2 linked regions of the Ovis aries genome follow. Each later gene encodes a partner of the first gene's protein in a complex. Links are inferred from orthologs where the notes say so. Each region holds a gene or a part of one and is shown on either strand. Other genes may lie near its edges.

Evidence for each region. Proteins that work in one complex are often made in the same cells at the same time.
Region 2: the proteins of OPRK1 (region 1) and PDYN are in contact, whole or in part, in a cryo-EM structure (PDB 8F7W), measured with the Homo sapiens proteins. The link is inferred for Ovis aries from reciprocal best matches to the Homo sapiens genes OPRK1 and PDYN. Residues at the interface, in NP_000903.2 of Homo sapiens: Thr111, Gln115, Trp124, Val134, Ile135, Asp138, Tyr139, Met142, Lys200, Glu209, Cys210, Asp216, Tyr219, Lys227, Val230, Phe293, Ile294, Glu297, His304, Ala308, Leu309, Tyr312, Tyr313, Ile316, Tyr320; in NP_001177821.1 of Homo sapiens: Tyr207, Gly208, Gly209, Phe210, Leu211, Arg212, Arg213, Ile214.

What each region holds. Positions count from the first base shown.
Region 1 is NC_056062.1:34,733,135-34,737,156, forward strand, and holds the start of OPRK1 (kappa-type opioid receptor), read right to left. Parts: upstream 2,811-4,022; 5' UTR 2,693-2,810; coding exon 2,597-2,692; intron 2,232-2,596; coding exon 1,936-2,231; intron 1-1,935. UniProt on the Homo sapiens protein: G-protein coupled opioid receptor that functions as a receptor for endogenous alpha-neoendorphins and dynorphins, but has low affinity for beta-endorphins.
Region 2 is NC_056066.1:52,860,988-52,864,842, forward strand, and holds PDYN (proenkephalin-B precursor), read left to right. Parts: upstream 1-1,267; coding exon 1,268-1,396; intron 1,397-2,697; coding exon 2,698-3,345; downstream 3,346-3,855.

The sequences.
Region 1 (4,022 bases):
AACTCTTCACTCCTCATTTACTATCAAATGTAGTGGGCACATGCATAATATTATTACATGAACTCTGTAACTCTTTGTGTATTTTTGGCTGAATTTATCCCCTTTTCACAAACTTTAGTCTTGGATGTCTTTGAGATAGACATATTTAGCTTATACTTATATTTTTTTGTACTTATCTTGAAAATTCTAGTCAATCTACAGTGATTCTTCTTTCTTTCTGACATGTCTAATGCTCCGCAGGGAGTTATCTTTTCACATATTTTAGGATTCTTTGTTCTTTTTAATCCTAGACTGCAGGGCTATACAAAGAGCTGTAGAGCAACTGAAGAAGCCTCTCAGACTCAAAACTTCAAGTTCTCCTTCAAGTGACAGTAAGATGTATCTGTTTCACTCAAGCACTCAAGTATGATGGAGCAGGAACAGAGTGGGTTTCCTCCTGGCATCCCCTTTCTCTGTAACAATGTTTTATTATAAAACAACGGCCTCTGTAGCAAAGATCTCCTAGAAATTTTAATTATAGTTTAGAGTACAGCTGTTCTTTCTTTTCTCTTGGTTACTATAATCTTCTTTCTAATGGAGAGTAGCCCTGCAATTACTAATGATTTGGAAGAACAATTTGCTTGTAAAATACTACTTCTGTAGCCTGTACTCATCACTGATAGAAGCCCAGTGGAAGGCAATAAGCAATTGTGGAAAGCAAGGTCACCAAGCTAGAGACACTAATTGTAGGTGAAAAGAGCTTTATAATATGTATTTGGAGGCTTAAAAGATGGTTTTCAGTTCTGTAGCACAGATGAGGATAAATGTGGTGACATTCCCAAGTCAGAGAGAGAGAGAGAAAGGAAACAGGTATTTGAAAGATTCATGCTACTGCAGATATTGTCTTTACAGTTCACAATAAATAAAGAGCATGTTTCAAAACTAAAGTCAAGATTTAAAAAAAAAGTTCTTCATCCTTTCTATGCCTCTAAGCAGAGTGACTTGCATCCTTTCTTTATACACAGGAATGTCTCATCTTCGTATTCACTCTCAAATGTGCAGCTGAAAACCATGAAGTCTCCCAGAAAGGGAAATTTCTCAAAGGGTATCCAGACAATGGTAGGATTTCTGTTTTTTACTTGTTTCCTTTGTTATGAAAGGCCAAAATACAAATCACTTCACTTTCTAGAAAATTAGCATATATGCAGATATTTAGGTATTTATTATTGGAAGCTGACTTCAATAGGCCCACAAAAGAACAATAAAAAGAAAGTTCTAGTTCCCATGGTGGGAGATAAAAAGCAAAACAATTTTTGGAAACCTCCAGCACCCATACTGTAGGAGACAAATACTAGATGGTTTAGGTACCAAAGTGACTGGCATTCTAAACAAATGAGGTGGCATGTCAGTACTACAAGGCTCACATGTGGATACCTAAACAGTATACTGGATTTGCTTCATAAACCATAACACCATTCTGATGAGTCACAGGAAATCCTGAATTCTCTTCAGGGCATTGAGTGGGCATGAATTTTATCTAAAGAAATATTTGCAAGGGCAAAACAAAGTGCTCCAAACTGGTGCAGGCAATCAGGCAAAAGGCCAGGCAGTTGGACTAGTTTCCTTCCCAGGAGACACTGACTTTGTCTCTTGCAGGGACACCCCATTATCTCCATCCGAAGGGCCTTCTGCAGGGATTTGGGGCGCAGGGGAGGGTCACTCTTAAACCTTCAAGTCACCTCTGGTCTCTTGGATTCGTCCTGTGCGAACCTCGCAGTCCCACAGCAAAATGTCTCCCAGGAACTCTCAGTTCGAAGAGGCAGCCCCCTGAACCTCTCCGGAGCCGGGACGGAATGGGGTCCCCACTACCCCGCTGGCGTTCCTCCGCGCGTCCCGGTGACCAGCCCGACCCTCCCTCCGGCTGCGGCCACTGTAGCGCCGGGACCCCGCGCTCACCGGATGATCACGAACATGACCAGCGAGTTGCCCACCAAGCCCACGACGAACACCACGGAGTAGACGGCCGTGATGACGACCAGGATGACCGGGGAGATGTGAGCCGGCTCCAGCAGCACGTCCTCCGAGCCCGCGCTGCCGTTACCGTCCGGCTCTGCCCAGCCCGGGAACCAGCCGCTGCCGTTGGGGGGCAGGCAGGTGCTCGGGGAGCAGGTGGGGCCCGGCTCACCGCGGAAGATCTGGACTGGGGGCTCCATGTCCGGCGGCTGCGGCAGCGGGACAAGGACAGGCGGCACCTGCGGGGGCAAGAGAACCGACTGGACCCGGGAAGCGAACTTTGGCCGCGTCCGAACCAGCACGCGAGCGCGGCGGTGCAGGGGCCTGCGACCCGCTGATACCCACCCTGGCCGGAAGACCCCGGGGAGGCACAGGGGCACGGACCTCTCTCTGGGTGCCACCCCGGCCAGCAGACGCGCCGCAGGTACCAGGAGGGGCGGAGAGCGCGCCGTCCTTTCCCCTGGTGCCTGAAATCCCCCACCCTTTCCTAGGCACAGCTCCCGGGAGGAACTGTCCCCAGTCTGCGGCCCGGAGACCCCAGGGACAAGAGACCCCTGGAGCGCAGAGCCCTCGCTGCCAAGGACTTCGAAATCCCAAGGCTCACCTCCGGCTCGGGAGATGCACGCAGAGGAACAGCGACGCTGGACCGCGCGGAACCCAGCGTTCCCGAATCCCACTCAGCCGGCGGGTTGCCGGGCATCCGCAACCCCGCGGCGCTGGCTCCCAGACCCGGACCCCGCGCTCTGGCCGCCCCCCAACCCCCGAGCGCGTCCCCGCCACTCCGCGCGCGGTTCCCACGACCCGCAGCGGCAGAACACGGCTGGACGCCGCGAGTGCGCGCGGGCCCCAGACATCCCTCCCCTCCCGACCCCGCCCCTGCCGCCCCGCCTACCCGCCTGCGCGCCCCCCGCCCCGCGCCCGCCGGCTCACCCGGAGCACAGCCTCCATCCATGGACCCCGGCCTCCCCGGCGCCTGACTGAACATCTGGGCGATTCAGACTTAGGGTCAAGAAGGGTGCGCCTGTCCAGTGCAAGTGGACATCGGGGTTACTCACAATGTGTCTAGAACTGCTGCCGGCCTCGTTCTCAGAACACATCTGCTTTCCGATGAGGAGGAAAATGGTAATTTCATGTGAGTGACCAGTCCAAATACGGTAGCAAAATGATCCAATTAGAATAAGACCAGACCACACGGTTTTAGTGGTTGATTTTGACCACCCAATGCTAAGAGCCGACTCACTGGAAAAGACTCTGATGCTAGGAAAGATTGAGGGCAGGAGGAGAAGAAAATGACAGAAGATGAGATGGTTGGATGGCATCACTGACTCACGGACTTGAGTTTGAGCAAACTCCGGGAGATAGTGAGGGACAAGGAAGCCTGGCGTGCTGCAGTTCATGGAGTGGCAAAGAGTCGGACACCACTGAGCGACTGAACAACAGCAAATACATAAATAGAATATTCTGTCCCTTTCATTCTGCTGGATGCACGGGATGCACCCTGCGGTACCACCTATGTGCCTTGCTGTCACCTGCCGAAGAGAAGACACGCCCCTCCTCAGGCCAGGCCACAGTGTGGGTGCAGGTCCGAGATAGGGTCCTTTCTCCCACGTTAACCTCCAATGCCATCACATTCCCTCATGAAGGCAGCTTTTCTCTAACACCTCCAAGAGCCTGAGCCCCCAAAAGAAATCCCATCCTCGTTCCTCTGCATGACTCTGCCAGTGCCAGGAGCAGACTCTGCTGGTAAGAGAGGCCCTGAGCACAGTGACTGGAGGGTAAGAAAGCAGGACTCAGGAGCTGTGATGAGACCCTGAGGGAGACTGGGGAAGTCCGCCTCTCCCAGCTGGTGTTGGAAATCAGGTGCCAGGAGACCAAGTTAGCCAAGTGTCCTGAGTGGACTCCTGTCTAAGACTGACTGACCTCTTGAGACAAACAGAGCCCACTGCGGCTGCCCTGGCTCCCATCTGCACCCACACCTGGACAACTCATGGCCCAGACAGTCATCCCACCCATCGATGGGCAGCAGAAGG
Region 2 (3,855 bases), on another chromosome or scaffold:
TCGTGCCTTCATGGAACCAAATTTTAAAGACTCACATGGGTAGTTACCGAGAAGTGGACTAGTTTAGAGGAGGAGGCACAAATCTCTGGAAAAACACAAGGAGGAACATCCCTTCCACCTAAGAGATCAGAGAAAGCTGCCCGGAGGAGGTGACATCTACTCTAGGACCAAAATGACAGAAAACAGAAGAGGAGAGGAGGGTTTTCTAGGAAGAGGATTTTCTAGGAGGATTCTCTGGCCCCAGCATGTGCAAAGGGCCAGAGGTGGGACAGGTGCCACTCCATTCATTAGGGGGTTTGCTAGTAGCTGAATATGGTCAGAATACAGAGTTGAAGAGCTGGCTACAGGGTTAGAATTGAGGGTGTCTCTGAAAATGAGTACTTCCCTGGTGGCTCAGACGGTAAAGCGTCTGCCTACAATGTGGGAGACCTGGGTTCAACCCCTGGGTTGGGAAGATCTCCTGGAGAAGGAAATGGCAATCCATTCCAGTATTCCCTGGAAAATCCCATGGATGGAGGAGACTGGTAGGCTACAGTCCTTGGGGTCACAAAGAGTCAGACACGACTAAATGACTTCACTTTTCTGACATTTAGGAGAAGGGCCCAGCCTGACCCAATCCAATGGTTCTGATCCCAGACCTGATATACCGAGAAGGGCATTTCAAGGTGGGCAGGAGGGATCAGCAAAGGAGTGGAGGCAGGGGGGGCCAGCACGATCGGTGAAGGTGGAGCCATGGCTGGGGCAAGGAGGAGTGCTGGCATGGGGAATGTCCACAGCAGAAAGGACTGGGCTGGGGCCAGCCTGGGGAACAGGGGACACAGGCAGGGGGTAGAAGCTTCAGAGAATGCAGAGAAACAGATAACCACATCTTCTGGCTTGGTGAGTGGTCAGAGTGGGTTTGATTTTTGTCCGCTTCCTAGCTGTGTAAGCAATCACTTGCCCTCTCTGAGCCTCCACTTTCCTATCTAACGGTACAATCCACATTAGGAACTATTGGGCAGATTGAATGTGAGCATATAGGAAAGCTCCCAGTACACTGCTGGCGTTCAGCATGTTAGTTCCCTTCCTTGACCGCTGGCCTTGGGCACCCACTGCTCCTCCATAGGCCTGTTTTCTTGGCTGTAGAATGGGAACAAGAACGGTTGCCTTGCAGTGCAGTGCTGCCAGCAAGAGTTGGCTTTGCAGGCTAAGGACACACTGCACAGAGTAGGCGATCACAGATTTCCTTTCCTCTTTCTCCCTCTCCAGCAGGAAGAGCCAAGACAGAATGGCGTGGCAAGGGCTGGTCCTGGCTGCTTGTCTGCTCGCACTCCCCTCCGTCACAGCGGACTGCCTGGCCCAGTGCTCCTTGTGTGCTGTGAAGACCCAGGATGGGCCCCAACCCATCAACCCCCTGGTGAGTTTCAGGCAAGGCTCCTCAGTGCCAGAGTGCATGGAAGGGGCAGTCTGTGTGTGGAGCCCAGAGAGGGAAGGTAGCAGGCCTGGGCAGCTGTGAGCCTGTTCTGTAGACTCCTCCCAGACTGTGCAGAGCACGTCCTGCCCTGTGGTAGGTCTGGGCAGCTAGGGATGGCTGTTTTCCAGACTCCTGTTCCCTCCCCAGACCTTACCGCCATAGGCTCACTCAGGTCTGGGACGAAAGCTCAGATTTCCAGGGAGCCTGTTGCCTGATAGCAAGGAATGTCATTTATGAGGTGGTGTTGACTTTGGGTATTGGCAACCCAAGATGAACTTTTCAGGGCTTCTTACAACCAGGCTGATGGGCACTCCCAAATATAGTCAATTTCATGGAAGGAGCTCTTTGCACCACCACTTGGCTGGCCTTGCTGGCTATACTTTGAATCAAGCTCCTCCCTGTGCCTCTCCCACGACAGCAGACAGCTGTAATAAAGGTTCAAGGGTGTGGTGGACAGAACATGGGCTTTGGTTCTGCCAATTTCTAGTTCCGTGACCCTGGAACCCCCTCTCTGATCCTCAGTTTCCTTGCATGCAAAATGGGAGTGATTCCATGAGCTGATGATGCAAAGTATTAACGCTGGCCACTCTCCGCTGAGAGGCACACAGCACACCACGTGCTGCCCATGTATTGGTTTGATCTCAGAAGTGCCCAGTGCTTAGGTATGATGACTCATGGCATTAGAACGTGGGTGCAAGTTCTAGTACTGTCTAGTATTGTCATTGTTGTCACTGTCATTATCAACACCATCGTCATCATGTTTGACTCCTCCCTGCTTTTATGAAGTATATACTGTCATCCCAGGGTTAGTGAACCCTTAACTCCTCACACGTGTTCTTTCCACCATTCTGCATTGCTTCTTTTCTCTGTGTAAAGTGTGTGCAGCATTCTTTATACCCAGGAAAGGTTGGGGGAGCCAACTAGTCCCTCTGGAGTCAGAAGCAGAAGATTATGGGTGAGCCCAGGAGAGCACTATGGCAAGATTTTCCTTCCAACTTTGACAGTGTCATCTGTAGCCATGGGCCCTTGAAAAAGCTGTTTCATCTTTCCTCGTCCTCCACATGGGCATAAAGTCACTTACCTTTAGGCACCATTGGGAGCATGAAAGTGGGTAGCCTGGGACTTAGTAATGGTTTTTTAATTTTCTCAGACACTGGACTGGGGACTGTCTGGGGCAGGAGGTTGTGGCTTGACAGTTTGATGGAGGTGGCATTACCACTGTGGTCTTCTGGGGTCTCTTGCAGGTTTGCTCCCTGGAATGCCAGGCCGCCCTGCAGCCTGCTCAGGAGTGGGAGAGGTGCCAGGGCCTTCTGTCTTTCCTCACTCCCTTCACCGTTGGGCTCAATGGCAAGGAAGACTTGAAGAGCAAGGCAGTTTTGGAAGAGTCTAGCAGTGAGCCGGCCAAGCACATCAGGCCCTACTTGAAGGAACTAGAGAAAAACAGATTCCTTCTCAGCACCCCAGCAGAGGAGAACACTCTGAGCAGCAGCCTGGCGGAGAAGCTCAGGGGTCTCTCTGGCAGGTTGGGGGAGGATGCAGAGTATGAGTTGATGGGGGATGCTCAGCTGAACGATGGTGCCCTGGAGGCTGAAGCGAGGGATTCCAATGAGGAGGAACCCAAGGAGCAGGTCAAACGTTATGGGGGCTTTTTGCGCAAATACCCCAAGAGGAGCTCAGAGGTGACTGGGAAGGGGGCTGGGGAAGGGGAGGGGGGTGAGATGGGCCATGAGGACCTGTACAAGCGCTACGGGGGATTCTTACGGCGCATCCGTCCCAAGCTCAAGTGGGACAACCAGAAGCGCTATGGTGGCTTCCTCCGGCGTCAGTTCAAGGTGGTCACTCGGTCTCAGGAAGACCCCAGTGCCTATTACGAAGAGCTTTTTGATGTGTAAACACCTCCCCATCATGGAGTTGAGTCAGGAGCTTCCCATAATGCCCTGGAGATTGGAGTGAACTCATTCATCCGCCCTTGTGGTCCCCATCCCCATGCTCAGTTAAGCATTGTCTACAAGACTTCTAAACCTAGTCTGCCTCTCTTCTGCCCAGATACAGTGTTTGTCCAGGTCAGTGAGGAAGGAGGAGAAAGGTTTCCCTCTCCAGTAGGCTTAGTGCTTGGCTTCAGCCCTACGTCTCTAAAACTACCACCACCAGCAGCTTTGCTATCAATTCCCTTTATATGACTCCCCAATCCCAGGAATCCAGACTGACCTCTTGATCCCTCTGGATCTATGATCAAGTATTCTGATCAATGCCCTTCAAAAGAAAAATGAACATTCCCCTCCCATGCAGATAAATAGATATATCAATATCTATCTATACAGATAGATAGCATAAAACATATAAAAGGTAGAAATTTATAAATTTTTTTAAAAGGTAGAAATTTAAAACAAAATAGATATATA